Astyanax mexicanus: one gene and its partner. The protein of the gene in region 2 purifies or fractionates together with the protein of the main gene of each other region. This does not show direct contact. Links are inferred from orthologs where the notes say so. Each region holds a gene or a part of one and is shown on either strand. Other genes may lie near its edges.

The links. Proteins that work in one complex are often made in the same cells at the same time.
Region 1: the proteins of ecpas (region 2) and psmc6 purify together in Homo sapiens (affinity purification with western blotting; 3 studies listed by BioGRID and IntAct, with this or other methods). This does not show direct contact. The link is inferred for Astyanax mexicanus from reciprocal best matches to the Homo sapiens genes ECPAS and PSMC6.

Annotation. Positions count from the first base shown.
Region 1 is NC_064408.1:87,378,866-87,386,564, reverse strand, and holds the start of psmc6 (26S proteasome regulatory subunit 10B), read right to left. Parts: upstream 3,026-7,699; 5' UTR 2,964-3,025; coding exon 2,879-2,963; intron 2,213-2,878; coding exon 2,133-2,212; intron 1,210-2,132; coding exon 1,170-1,209; intron 1,084-1,169; coding exon 1,031-1,083; intron 511-1,030; coding exon 443-510; intron 1-442. UniProt on the Homo sapiens protein: Component of the 26S proteasome, a multiprotein complex involved in the ATP-dependent degradation of ubiquitinated proteins.
Region 2 is NC_064432.1:23,872,054-23,879,698, reverse strand, and holds the start of ecpas (proteasome adapter and scaffold protein ECM29), read left to right. Parts: upstream 1-4,581; 5' UTR 4,582-4,645; coding exon 4,646-4,667; intron 4,668-6,222; coding exon 6,223-6,353; intron 6,354-6,479; coding exon 6,480-6,596; intron 6,597-7,218; coding exon 7,219-7,337; intron 7,338-7,427; coding exon 7,428-7,574; intron 7,575-7,645. Other genes in the region: fbxo10 (F-box only protein 10), read right to left, coding at 820-1,410. UniProt on the Homo sapiens protein: Adapter/scaffolding protein that binds to the 26S proteasome, motor proteins and other compartment specific proteins. May couple the proteasome to different compartments including endosome, endoplasmic reticulum and centrosome.

The sequences.
Region 1 (7,699 bases), on a different chromosome or scaffold from region 2:
TCTGCTAAATAAAAGCATTTTACAGTCAAAAGGGGGTTTGATTTGCCTTTCTAGCAATGCTACCACCAATTCCCTCTACAAGTTCACTTGGTTCCACTTGACCTTCACCGTTCTTAACAGTCATTTTTTAATTGCATTATAAACTATTAACTATTTAAAAGACTTCATCTGCTTTGTGGGAATCAATTATTTGATTTATTAATCAGAATAAAATTTGCTATAAATAAATCTGAACAAGCCTTAGCTTGTTAAGGTCTATCCAACAAATCAAAAAGGATGTTTCATGTTACATATTATGCCTTTTGCAGATCAGTCTATTCATGTACACTAATTATTCACCCCAACAAATTTGGACATAAGGGGGATCAACTTTGGCAGGGTGCTACTTTTAGAGTTAGTAAAGCAATTGTTTGGCAGTGTTTTGCCCAGGTCATCTGCTCACCTCATGATGGTGAGTGTGGTCATGTCCAGAGCCACTCTGGTTCCAGGCTTTAGCTTGGTTTTGTCCAGCTGTAACAGATGAAGTGTGTTAGGAAAAAAAAAGGTAAGCATGCAGTCGTCATGTAGTTCAAATCGCCCTTCTGTTAAATAGCAACCGCAAGCTTAACTAAACAGGAAGGACTTAAGTGTGAAGAGAAAACCACAAAAAGTTACGAAGATTTTACGTGTGCACTAATTAGACAAATAGAATAGAAAAATAGTATTTTTTTTTGCACAACTTTGTCAGTAGTACTTTAAAGCAATGCATATGTATGTAGGATAATAATCTCAGGACATTATCAGTAAACAAATGCTTGTAATTTTGTCTTTCCAAGGCTATTACAGCATTGTAGCTCAATCAGTAAAAGCTAAGAAATTATGAGAAACTTTGTTTCTCCAGATAAACTCTAGTTTTCAAGTTTAAAATGCTGCAGGAGTCAAATTTATTCATGACCCCAAAACAAAGGACCTGATATAAGCACTGTGGAGGTCTCACCCTGTGCAACAGTTCTTTAATAGTAAATGTTTACTACAATATGGTGCCTCTTACCTGTCTCCGGCAGCCAACCACATATCGAGGTCCATTGGTAGCTTTTACAATAACTGCAAAGACAAATACAATCTGATTAACTTTCTGAAAATGGTAAGACAAAATTAATCAACATACTGAGTAAATTAAAAACACTTACACTTTTCCTCAGTCAGCTGTTTTAATACCTCCCCAACAATCTAAAAAGAACGAAATACACAAATATTTCGATAATATTAGTATACTGTATGCAGTTTTTATTGGATATATCATTAATTTTTAAGGTAGCCAAGTTTAAAAAGATTTGCTCCTCCTATTAGATTAAGAAATACAAGTATTGTACAATTGATAGAAGTTTATATACTGTAAATACTAAGGGTCCTGTAAGTGCTTTGCATACACTTACAATTGTAAAAACAGAACAAAAAATAAGATATACTGCAAACAATTAAAACCATTGAGGTTTGTAAATGCTATGTAATCAATAACAGTCCTCCAAGTGTGGAAATTAAAATTAATGTAGCGATTATAAAGGGAAAATCCAGTGTGAAATAGACTTGGGGTGTAGTAAAAAATAATGAGTACGAACTTTTGTGAACTAGCCCACAGCTATCCGGAATACAGCACTTTAAGCTGATGTTCCAAAAAGGCTTAAAATGCTAGTGATGGGGGCATAACATTACCCATGCAAAGAAATTACAAATTTTACATAATCAACAGTGTTTTTAATCAACTACCTGTGTGCTGGCAAAGCTCTCAGTGCCAGCACCTTCAGAATTATACCAGTGAAGTGTTAAGCTATTCTGAGCTTGATACTTGTGTAAGAACAGAGATTTTAAGCCTGCTGGGAGCATCAGCTGAAAGCACTGTATTTCGGAAAGCTGGAGGTTAACAGAAGTGGCCTATGCTACATGTTTAACTGCAGCACAAATCCACTTCACACTGGAAATCTTTTTAAAGTAATTTACCTAAATAAGAGGCTGTGCATATTGTGAAGTCAAAAACATAGCTACAGTAGGTTACACACCTATAGTGGTTTAAATAATGTGAACATTCTGTAAATAATAAAAAAAAATAAAGATGGAAGTTATGGATAATGTAAATAACTCATTTGTCATCCTACCTGACCAACACTCTGCAGAGCCTTCAGGTCATTCTCAGACTTCTCATACTGCTTGGTGAGCTCCTTCAGCTGCTCCCTCACTAAAACATAAAACAATGTTTACAGTAAAGATATTTCAGTCACACGTTTGTCCTGGAAAAACAATTTACACTAGCTAGTCTAAAGTCTCTATCTGTGTAGTGTTGCGTTAGCCGGTAACAGTTAACTACCTCGGTCGGCTAAGCTAGAAAGCTAAGCTAGTAGCTAACCAAACTAACATTAGAAAGAACACCAAAGAAAACGGGTAGATTGTGTTGAATCCCAATTTGATCTAGGTTTTTATAATAATCAGAGAACAGTATTACACCCTTAAGCCATTTAAAACCGAGTTTATTGGTTGTTTGTTTGTTAGCTAGGTTAGCCAGCTAGCTAGTAAAACTGTTCTAGTTCACTAGCTTTTTTTTCCCCACCCGTATTCCGATAAATCCCATCCCTCGCACCCTGCGATTGGTAAACTGTGTGTGATTTGGACCTACTAGCCAATCATAGCTCAGGACGTAGTTTCTAATTAGCCAATCCCGAAGGCGAAAGGGGCGGGACTTGTCGAAATACGGGTGTTCAGCTAGGCTAACGCTAACGCCGCATACTCCTGCATGACAAAGCGACTTGAGCCTGACTGCCGATTCAAACTAACAGAAGCCGAAATGAGCCAGAAGAGACGATTAAAGATTAAACTCAGGAACAAAAACCTCAGATAGATCACTCACACTCCTTCAGACGCCCATCGATCTCTTTATGCTCCAGTAATTTCTTCCTATAGTCCTGTAGTCCCTTCTCCCTGCTGTCAGCCATGATCCCCCTGCGATACTACTGCTGCTGCTGCTGTACTAGCTTTAGCCAGCTAGCTAGTGATGTGTCGCACGGGAATGAGTCGATTCTTTGAATCGGTTCTTTCAGGTAAACCTTTGAGAGCTGTTCTAATCAATTAATTAAAGGGTTGAAAAAAAGATTCGTATTAATAAGTTTGTGGTGTTAATTCATTAGTTTGCAACACTGTATTCTTCAGTTAACAGACTTCTCAATATTGTTTGTGTTCTCTCACTGCAGTGTCTCTGCTATTGTAAAGCAAAAAAATATATAATAATAATAATAATAATAATAATAATATCATATAATAATAATATCATATATTTATATTTATATATTTATTGTATATACACAGACCAGCTGTGCTGTTGAATTGTTTTACGGAACCTCTGAAAGGATATAAGGATATACAAAGGATTTTACATGGATGGAAAAAAAATATTGCAAAAATGTAAAATAATGCTCTGACTCGAATGTTTTTTTGTAGGAGTTCTTGGGATAAAAAAAACTCAGCTGCTTTACCCGCTCTGGCCTTTAGATGGCACCAACACGCCATTCATTTTCATCTTCTTAACCTTAGTATTAAAGGCAAAGCGCTCGCTGTTAGACCAGAGTGCAATTTAACCATTGTTTTAAAACAGTGCAGAGGAAGAACTGCACTGATAAATCAGAGCTATTCTTTCTTATTTAAGAACAGCTACGGTTTCACAGATCAAGGTGAATGCATTGGGTGTTTATGCCACTCCAAACACCAGATGAATAAATGCTTATCCATGTAGTTCTCCAGAAAGCCGTGTCAGAACATATATATATCTTCCTCTGAAACAGTCTGTTCCTCTTTAAAACATGGTTCATAACTTTGCAGGCACAACATTTAAGCTGGACTTAATATCTATTGAGGTTAGTGGTCAGCTAGGATAAGTGGGTTTTCGAATATGATGATTAGTGTATTGGTTTTATCTAAAGGCCAGAGTTGGTAATTCCCTGATTTCCTCCCTCATAATTGTCTTAAAATATAATTAGTTTGAGGGAAAAAAAACTTAGGTGTGACCCTCCCACCCCCTAAAGATCTTGAGTCACGTCATTGAACAAGTAGGATTTTTTTCGGGAGCTCCATGGGTTTTGCTTTGTCCCTCATGATGAAACACCTAATGACTGCAGCTACCTTACTGAACCTGCTCCTTTAATTCCACATAAACACATTTATTTTATATTCATGTCAACATATATTCATGCGTTATATTTGTTGTTAAAATATTATGTTTAGCCACATACTTTATTTGTGTTTATTTTTTGTTTATAAAAGACAAACTTCCATTTATATAAAAATAGTATAACTTTTTACTTTTATTTTTTAGCAGCCTCTATGGGAGTGCTGCTTATCTCACAACTGATTGGCTCCCCCTTTTTTAAGTGCCTGACGTCAGTTACCGTGTCATTTTTAAACTTTCCTGTTAACACTTTTCAATTCTTTTGCATTGTTCCTGTTTCACACTGTAAGCTCTGTGGAATCCTGCTGTTCTAGTCCACACAGTGGGCTGTTGTTTCTCTCTGTCTGCTGGACAAACAGCTTTGAACACAGTTCTGCTCTTTACAGTTTCTAAACATTTGTGTTTGAGACGAGAACTGTGTGTGTACAGCTCATTGAGTCTGCATTGCCTTTCATGTTGTTGTTACATAAAATGACTAATTAATGAGCCTGTAATTCAGAGGATCCAGAAACATACAGTGGGGAAATGGATGCTTGACTCAATAAAATTAACCTAAACTGATTATAACTAAACTGATCCCAGCCTAACAGAGTAAATGTACATGACTGCAAAATTATAACATTTTAGGCCATAAGAGTTTTCTATAACTCTTGTGTTTTTCTTATATACACATTGTTCTTTCCCCACAAGTTATATTAATATGTATATTAGTCATTTTAAATAGGACACTGTAAATTAGGCAATTGATTATGTCAGGAAACATGAACTGACTTGACTTAAACTGACTCTGAAATGAACCATCTGAAAACAATAGAACTCAATGAGCTGATCTAGTAAACTACTGAAATTGAACTAAACTAAAATAAACTGAACTTTCTATGATTACTTGACTGGATTAGGTTTTACTAACAGAAGTAATTGAACCCCTAAATAAACCAAACTGATTGTTAATATGTAAATGTTTTTTTTTAACTGCCAGCACAGCTATGCATATGTATGTTCCATTGAAGTCACATTTGTATGAATCAGATTCGAATGAAGTCGAGTTTTAGAAAGTGGAAGTGTTTCAGATATTCTACAAGTAACTCATTCCTACTAGAGAAAATAACAATATCCAGATTTACCACCCTGGATTAGCCTTTCCTGTATGATCCAGTCTGACCAGTTCTATTTAATTCTAATGTAAACCCACATGTTATTTCACTACTTATTGGGTTTTAGGCTGTATTTGCTGATGATGATAATAGCATTGTATCCACAGAATGACTAATCCACTGCAGTAATTTATTTAACTGTATTCTGCTGTATCCCCCTGTGTGATGTGTGCCTGGGCAGGTCCAAGCTCTTAGAAAATCACTAAAGGGATTTTTCCCATTTATTACTTACCGCACTCTTCCTCAGCTGTGTCATTTCCTCAGAGAACACCATCTGCCTTCACTTTTTGGTAATGTCTGGAACTGATGTCCTGCTAATGTTTTCCAATTATGGGTCTAGAGTGACAAACACTAAAGAACACTATCTGGACAAGACATGATTTGAAATTAAAATAAAAAAACATACAAATGGAAATTAATATTTTTTTAAACTAAAAAATTAATTAATTCATTCATTCATTGATTAATATGATATGACTTTTGAGGTTCAACAAAAACCTTCAAGAATCTAGTCTTAATATTTCTGGCATTAGTCAAAGCTGTTATTGGCTTAATGCTGTAGTTCTAAAGTCATATTTTTATATAAAAATATTAAATAAAAATATGCACAGAGACTGATTCATTTTCATTGAAAAGTCTTTCAATCAAATACATTTAAATGCTTTGTGTCTTGTTTGTTCTTGAAAAATATAATCAAAACATAAACAATATCAATTATAAAATGCGAAAAAAGGGTTACAATTGTGCCTCTCAAAAACAGACTGTGAACATCATAAAAAACTTTATGCCTCAGCCCTTATCAACACACCGAGCCGCAATATGATCATTCAGAAGCAGGTAGCCTTTTACATATGGTTCTATGTTCATCATCTTCTACAGAGAAACTGTAGAAAGCATGTTGAGGACCTGCATTACCGTCTGGTTTGGGAACTACAACATAACAGATTGCAAGACCCTACAGCGGATAGTGAGGACAGCTGAGAAAATCATCATCAGAGTCTCTCTCCCCTCCATCACTGAGATCTACACCACACGCTGCATCCGCAAAGCCACCAGCGTTGTGGACGATCCAATCACAGCTGGATCTGCACAGCTTCTTCCACCAGGCAGTCAGACACCTCAACTCACAGAGCCCCCACTACCAGACTCTGCAACAGCTTATTTTACTCTACACACACACACTCAGCACACAGTAACTCGCTTTACCCCAGTAACTGCTGTGATCATGTATGTTCTATATATAGCAGTATTTTACATATCTCTACACCTTATCCTCACTGGAATTTTCATTATACTGTATCGGTACTGCACCGTCCTGTCTGTTAAACTGTCTCGTCTGTCTGTACCTTTTTACACATTTAGGGCTAGACAGGGATTAAGACTAGTCCTGACAAAAGAAAATTTAGTCCAGGAACAAGCTTAATACCTGTCTGGGAAACCATGCTTTAATTTAGTTAAAACAGTAGAAGTAATAATTGCGCAAACTTAACCACACTCTGAAGATCCCCTGTACTAGAACAAAATAAAATGTGACAATTCATGTGACCATATGACACCTAGAACAGGGAAGTGAGGAAACCAGAGATGCAGGAATACTAACACTAAAACACATTTACAATCGCAAAACTGTTCTGCAGCTACAACTGACAGACACTTTATCATTATTCTTTATTTAAACCATGATCACAGCATTTTTATCAAAGTTCACTATCGTTATACTTTATAGGTGTTTCTTTAATGAATAAACAAATATTAATAGTTTCAACAATTGCTGATTAAAGATATGTAGCTTTCCAACAAAAAAATGTGTGTGTGTGTGTGTGTGTGTTTAGCTGCAATGCCTTAATGTTTCTAAAGAAGTCTTGCATAATCTTTCATTTTTAGAACAGGTTATCACCAGCAGGAACATTAATAAAAACACCTTCAACACACACATACCTTCATCCACTTATGCATGAGAGACAAAACTCCTCCCAGTCTGTCCTGGATTGCTTTGGATTTTGGTCAATTCCTCATGAATTCCTTTCCTGAACAAAGAATATGCAGAAATCCAGTCATTTTATATCTTAACAATCAGATATCAAGAAGAATTACAATATATATTTTAATGTTTGCATATCTATATTAAATTATTTAATTCACCTTTAAATAGAACATAATACCTATATGTTTTTTTTTTTTGTTACCAAAACATCAATAATGAGGCCTTGTGGGACCTAGAGCAAGTGTGTAGAGATAATTTTGAAGGGGTAAAAACCTGCAGTATTGAGCTGTTTAGCTTCATCCATACTTTTGGAATGGGTGAGTTGGGGAGCTGGGGATCAGGTAGAGTGGTGATCATCCAACATCCTGAACT
Region 2 (7,645 bases):
CAACATGTTTACATGTCACATCTAAAACAGGAAGTGACATCAGCTGGTACTTCTGAAGATCATGGGAAGACCAAAACTAAGTTTCCAAGCTCATTAGTTTTTCTGTATATTTGATCTTATTGTAACTCTGACTGAGGAGCTCAGTCTCAACACTCAGTCCTGTTACCTAAATTAATTCTTAGATTATATTTGCTTATTTTTAAAATACAATTTTTGGGAAAAATCACTAGAATGTGCTCAGTGTCCTCGTGCTATTAGCATAGCTGCCATTTAGCTATTTGTCATGTTTTTGCTAATTCTATGCTCTATAATCTCAGATTTCTCTGTTTAAAGGAGAACTCCAGTGTGAAATGTACTTGGGTTGTAGTCAAACATGATAACCAGTATGAACTTTTGTGGAATAGCCCACCTCTGTTCAACCCAAGCATTCCAAAATACAAGTCTTTTAGTTGATGGTCTGAACAGGCTTACAATGCAAGTAATAGGGGCATAGAGTTACCCATGCATAGAAATGGCTATTTTTACACCATTAACAAACTAAAAGTATTTTCACACTTCATTGGTAGAATTTTAAGGGCCCTAACATTTAATCAAGGTACTGAGAACTTCGAAAGTGCACAGGTAGTTCATTATAAATACACCAAACTAGTTTTTTGGCATGAGTAACACTATGCCCCTATCAGCAGCATTGTAAACCATTGTAATCCTGTAGAGAGCATCGACTAAAAGCAATGTATTTGGAAAAAAATAAAATTAATACTTGTTTTCATGTTCTTTCCCAGTTTAAAACACATGTTGATCAGCTGTGAACTTTCTTACCTTATAAGCCACCGGAGAGAACCAGGCTGGCATGAACACCACGTTACACAGCCTGGCAGTCGGGCACTGCTGATCGAAGCTGATCATCAGCACCACCTCGCCCAGCTTCCCCTTCCCCACGATCTCCACCGGTACCTTCAGCGTGACCTCTGCCTGCTCCTCGTACACCCCCGGGTACAGGTGGATCCTGTCGTATGGCCCGGCGGCCGCCAGCGCCCCCCTCAGCGTCACGGCGCCGCAGCCGGCCTCCGTCTCCACCCGCCACACCCTCCGGTCCTTCCTGCGGCGGAACAGGTGCAGGCAGGCGGACGAGTGCAGCTCGGAGCCGTTCAGGGTCCAGGTCCGACTGGCCAGAGCGTGCTGCCTCAGAACCTCCCGCCAGGAGGGTGGCGCCAGCTGCGGCCGCCGCGGCCAATTGGGATGGCGGCACTCGGGGCAACGCAGGCAGAGCTGCCTCCACCGTGTACTGTCCAGACTCAGCACCAGCTCCCGCCACGCCCGGCACACCAGGCAGCAGCGGCCCAGGTCTGCCAGCGGCAGGTACGCCAGGATGAGGCGCCACAGCTCCACTGGCAGGCTGCCCACCTCCATCTCCACCGCGCTAACGCGCCTACGAAAGAAAGACAGGAAATTACGGGAATAGTGCTTCTTCTGATTACTATATCCTATTTATGCAATCTAAACTAAATAAAGTTTACACTACTATCAAGTGGGCAGAGCTTAAACACAACACTAAATAATCCACTTCTGACACCAATCTTCACATCTAAACTAATCATTAAAAATCAATACTGTGTTTCTTCAAGAATTGATCGAATCGAGCAAGCACAGAGTTAGGTGTACAATCCTAGACTTCTCATTTAATGTTTATTCACCTTATTCACATGTCTGTTATACAAATATATATATATATAAAGTTTGAGCTGCAACGATTAGTCGCTAATTTGCACGGTGTTGATTATTAAAATGTGTCAGAAACACAGAAACACACTCACACAGTTTACACAACAACACAGTCTGTGTCTCCTAAAGTACCAAAATAGAACATATAATACACATTTACTCACTCATTTTGCCTATGATGGCCATCTAAACTGATTTACATTGGTCTAAACTGATTTAGGTTGTCTATACTGATTTAGGTGGTCTATATTGGTTTTAGATGGTATAAGATGATTTTAAACTGTCTAAGATTATATTAGATTGTCTGGTTTTAGATGGTGTAAGCAGATTTTAGACGGTCTAGACTTATTTGAAGGTGGTCTAAACTGATTTAGGTGGTCAATACTGATTCTAGATGGTCTAGACTGGTTTTAGGTGGTCTAGCATGATTTTAGATGGTATAATCTGGTTTTAGATGGTCAGGGTAGTGGTCTAAACTGGTCATGTAGAGTTAAACACTCCTTATTCTGGTGAGATAACTGGTTATCCAGCTGCTGTAGAGCAGAGTGTAAGTTATAGCTGGTTGATGTTGGGAACACTGGTTTGGTCTCGCTGGTCTCACTGAGACCAAAACATTCCCTGACCTGGTCACAAGCTAAACTGGTCACCCAGCTTCACCAGTTTAACCACTCTGAGCTGGTGAAGCTGGTATTCTTCAGCAGGGATGGAGTCCATTAGACTAACCCAGGCTTACTGGACCGGTCAAGGTTAGTCCAGTTCAGTAAAACTCCGGATTAAAGCCCAGATTAATACGGTTCAGTCCAATTTACAGGTTCTGGATCTGATCAGAACCGCGTTCCCCGCAGCGCGCGTTGTAAACACCGTTACGTCATTACCGCGTTAAACCGCAAACCCTACCTTCCGCCGGTTCCGGTCCAATCACGCGTTCATCCCTAATCCGGTTCGGGTCCGCGGTTCGGGGATTCGGCCGGTTCGGGCTGAAGCGGATCAGGATGTTTTCCTCTGCTCTCTTCCCGCTGGATGTGGGCGGGGTCTCTGTAGTGGGCGGAGCAACGGGCGGAGTTGTAGGCGGTACCCGAGGTTACGTTCACACACAAAACCGGTCCAATAATCCGAATTATTCAATTCTAACAGTTCATAGATCATAATCTTTAGCCTTTTATGTCTCCTCATAATTTAATATTTCAATATATTTTAATATTATAATAATAGTTTAATCATTCTGACTGTTTATCATATGTGTATATTTTGAATTTTAAATAATTTTAAATAAAAAAAAATTACAGCTTAAATCACTTTAATCACTTTACATAGTTCATTTAATAAGGTTAAGCTAAAATAAAGAACTTCATTAACAAAACAAAAATATAAGTGGACGATCTTAAATGCAAAAAAAAAATTAGAATATTAATAAAAATAACAAACGCAAATACAACAATAAGATATAAAAATAGGAAAAATAAATAGTAATTCAAATAAAAATAAAAACAGGAAATAAAGTAACTAAAAGAGAGCTGCAGAGATGCTGAATTGGTCATGATTGATGTTCTACACGTTTGTTTTATTATATTTTAATATATATAATATATTATATTATAATATAAAATACTGCGACTGGATGGTTAGCTTTAAATATGAAGACAATGTGATAGCAATATTATTAATTGCTGAATATTAACAGTACGTGTCTTCAGTCACTTAAATATAATATAATATAATGTTGTAATTTCCTATTTATTTTTACATCTTAAACAGTTTAATTTTACCGAAACATGTATAAAGCCAGAGCTGTTTTATAGAAGACTGCACACTTTCTGTTCCCCCTGTTATGGCAGTAAATGACTCATATATGAGGGTGAATGGAGCTAAATAGCTAAAAACTCTAATTATAAATAGCAACTAATTATTAATACAGGGTATTCCTTTAATTCTAGAGAAGAGAATTTTAACAAAAAAATCAGAATATTGTATTGTGTTGTATTTTTTATTTTATTGCACTACTGCCACTGTGAGGTGATTGGATGGTGAGCTTCATACGAACCCATTAATTTTTGACTCAGTCTGGAGCGCCATCTAGCTGTCCATAAAAACTAAAACACGTTGTGTAGTGAGTTTTCTTCTCTCTACACGCTCTCTGACATTATTTTTTCAGAATAAAAGTCTGCGACAATTATTAAAAATAAATATGCAGTTTTATATATACACAGCTCTGGAAAAAAATAAGAAACTACTTAAAAATGACGAGTTTCTTTGATTTTACTAAATTAAAAAAAACTCTGGAATATAATCAAGAGGACGATAGATGATAACAAGCCATCAAACCAAACTGAACTGCTTGAATTTTTGCACCAGGAGTAAGTTATCCAAAAGCAGTGTGTGGACTGGTGGAGGAGAACATGATGCCAAGATGCATGAAAACAGTGATTAAAAACCAAGTTTAATCCACCAAATATTGATTTCCAAACTTTTTAAAACTTTAGTAATATTAACTTTTTTTGGAGCCATTTCTCATTTTCTGCAAAGAAATGACATTACGTTTATTTGGAATTTTAGTTTGGAGTTTAATTGAAGAAATGTTGTCCGTAGTTTATAAAATAAAACAACAATGTTCAATTTACTCAATCATATAGCTATAAATAGCAAAATCAGAGAAACTATAGTGTATAGAGCATAAAGTGTGTAGTATGTGTATAGTGTATTTAGTGTATAAAGTGTGTATAGTGTGTGTACAGTGCATAAAGTGTATAGTGTGTGTATAGAGTGTATAGTGTACAGTGTGTGTTTAGTGTATTGTGTATAGTGTGTATATTGTCTTGTGCACAGTGTGTTTAGTGTGTGTATATGTATAGACACGCCCCCTGCAGCAGCTGCAGTTCCTCAGCACAGGGCTAAGCTAAGCTAACCTAACTGATGTGACTGCAGTATGGCTGCGCAGGACGAGCTCAGTAAGTTCTGGGTTAATTAACCTGTTTAAACTGTATAAACTGCGGTGTGAGAAAGTTATTGTGATATTGGACGTGTTTACTCGCGGACGGCTGGTTATATACGTATTTATAAATGTGTATATTTATAATAATGAGTGTGTTTGCGTGATGTATGTGCGCAGGTTGTATAGGAGTTAGCCGATTAGCTGTGTCAGTAGCGGTTAGCCGGTAAGCTAGCCGGGCTGCAGAGTCATGCTGAGGCCGAGTTTAAAACCATTTAAAGCGGGATTAAACCCGCGGGTCTCTCGGTGCGGGGTTGTAGTCTGTTGTTTAGTGTTATTTAGTGTAGTTTAGTGTGGGGTGGAGGTGCTGGGTGGAGTGGGGGAGCCGCTGCTGGCTGTACTGGGGCTGTGGCTCCCTCAGCCCGGCTGCTGGATGAGGGAGTTAGCCGCTTGAGCTAATCAGGCTAATCAGATAACCGGCTAGGTTCCCGGGCTGCTGCGGGTCAGCTCCCCGGGCTGTGAGCTCTCTCCCCCGGTTACACACAGCGCTGCAGGCCCGGCTGTGCTTCTGGGGTTCCGTATAAAGCACTTAATAAAGTGTGGTAAAGTTCTAGTTTATCAGTTGCACAGGTTAAACAACATGTCTGTATAAGATATGAAAATACAGTAGCTAAACAATAATAAAATAATATTATTATATATCTATTTCTCTGCCTGCCTGTCTTTTTCTCTATTTCTCTCTGTCTCTTTCTATTGCTTTGTGTATCTATCTGTCTGTCTGTCTCTTTCTCTATGGCTCTGTCTGTCTCAGTCTCTGTCTATCTGTCTCTTTCTCTAGTTCTCTCTGTCTGTCTGTCTGTCTCTCTCTCTCTCTCTGTCTGACTCAGTCTCTCTCTATCTGTATGTCTTTTTCTGTATATCTCTCTGTATGTCTTTCTCTCTGTGTCTCTGTCTGTGTCTCTATGTCTGTCTGTGTCCCTCATTCTGTCTCACTCTCCTTCTTTATCCTTGCCTCTATTATATGTTACATTATTCTCTCTCGTTTCTCCCTTTCACCCCGTTCCCCTCCACTCCTCTTTTACTCTCTCATTCTCTTTTCAGTTAACCTGCCTCTCTCCTTTGCTCACTGTCTTCCTAAATTTCCTCTGGGATCAATAAAGTATCTTTCAATCTATCACTCGCTCTTCTACTGTCATTCTACATGTCATCTTTTACTTTCTCTTTGTCCATACGCTTTCACTCTCTGCTTTCGCTCTCTGCTTTCTCTATCTCAGTTTGTTCTACTTTCTCTCTGTCTCAGTTCAGTGTACTTTAAAGGGGGATATTCATATTACAGTCATACATAAATTAACAAACTTGCATGTGTACCTACATATATGTATATATATCTTAAAAAAGAGTATATAATAGTAATAATATAAGGAATAAATATAGTCATATCTTATCGAAATAAAAAATAGATCTTCGATAGAAGTGTTATATATTAATTATACAGATGAGAAATAAAACAATTAAGAGTGTATTAAATATATATAATAATAAATAATAACAGTAAATGATCGTTTCTCTCTCAGATCAGCTGGAGCGGGTGTTCCTGCGTTTGGGTCATGCCGAGACGGACGATCAGCTGCAGGACATCATATCCAAGTTCCTGCCGCCCGTCCTGCTCAAACTGTCCAGCGCTCAGGAGGGAGTCCGCAAAAAAGTGAGTACCCTCAGGATGCTTTCTCTCTTGCACTTGAAATGCTCTCATGCTCAGTGAAGTGGTGATCTGCTCCGTGTGTACTGTAGTACTGTAGTATAGTAAGCGTGGTGTTCCCCCTCTGTGCAGGTAATGGAGCTGCTGGTTCACGTGAATAAGAGGATTAAGAGTCGGCCGAAGATCCAGCTTCCGGTTGAGACTCTACTCGTTCAGTACCAGGACCCGGCGGCAGCGTCGTTCGTCACAGTACGTAACAGAACCTTAGTGATGAGCTCTGATTTATAATGTCCTATTAACCAGTAAACACTATGGTCTAAAATAATATCACAATGCTTTTAATGTAAATGTCATGTAATTTTCTGCACTGCAGTTACAGGTGCAAATTGAATATTATTGAAAAGTTACTTTCAGTCAGTAATTCCATTTAAAATGTGAAACTCATATGTTATATAGATGTATTACACACAGAGTGATCTATTTTAAGCGTTTCTTTCTTTTATTGTTGTTGATTGTGGCTTACAGCCAATGAAAACCCCCCCAAAAAAAATCAGTATTTCAGAAAATAAACATTTTATATAAGACCATTGGTACGTTTGGCAGTGATTGGAGAGATCTGTAATCTGCTGGTGTGAATTACAGCCAATGAAAACCCAAAAATCAGTGTTTTAGAGTTTTCATTGGCTGTAATCCATAATCACCAATCAACAATAAAAGAAAAAATGCTTAAAATAGATCAAGTAATACATCTGTATAATAAATGAGTTTTTCTAAATTACTGGAATAAAGTAACTTTTCAATGATATAATTTTTTTTTAGATAGACCTGTACGTTTTAGTTGTGTTCAGCAGCACGTTTGTGTTTCCTGCAGAATTTCACCATTATCTACATAAAGATGGGCTACCCTCGGCTGGACGTTGCCAAACAGTGTGAGCTGGCTCCGACGTTACTCACAGCCATGGAGAGCAAACCTGAACCCCAGCAGGACAGGTGAGTCCTTGTTCACATTTACCTTTATTACCTGTGTGGGTTATAATCTATATACTACTCTTAAATCGTTATATCTTTTTTTATTTTCAGTTTGATGCATCTGCTGATTCCCACTCTGTACCACATGAAATATCCCACTGAACCGTCTAAAGCATCGCCGTTCGTCCTCACCGAGAAACCCAAGACTGTCCACCAGCTGCTGGAGTTCATGCTGGATGTTCTCCTAATGCCTTATGGGTGTGTTTATATTTATAACTTACACTGACTCGCCAAACATCACTGAACAGGAACTAGAATGGTGTCCCATA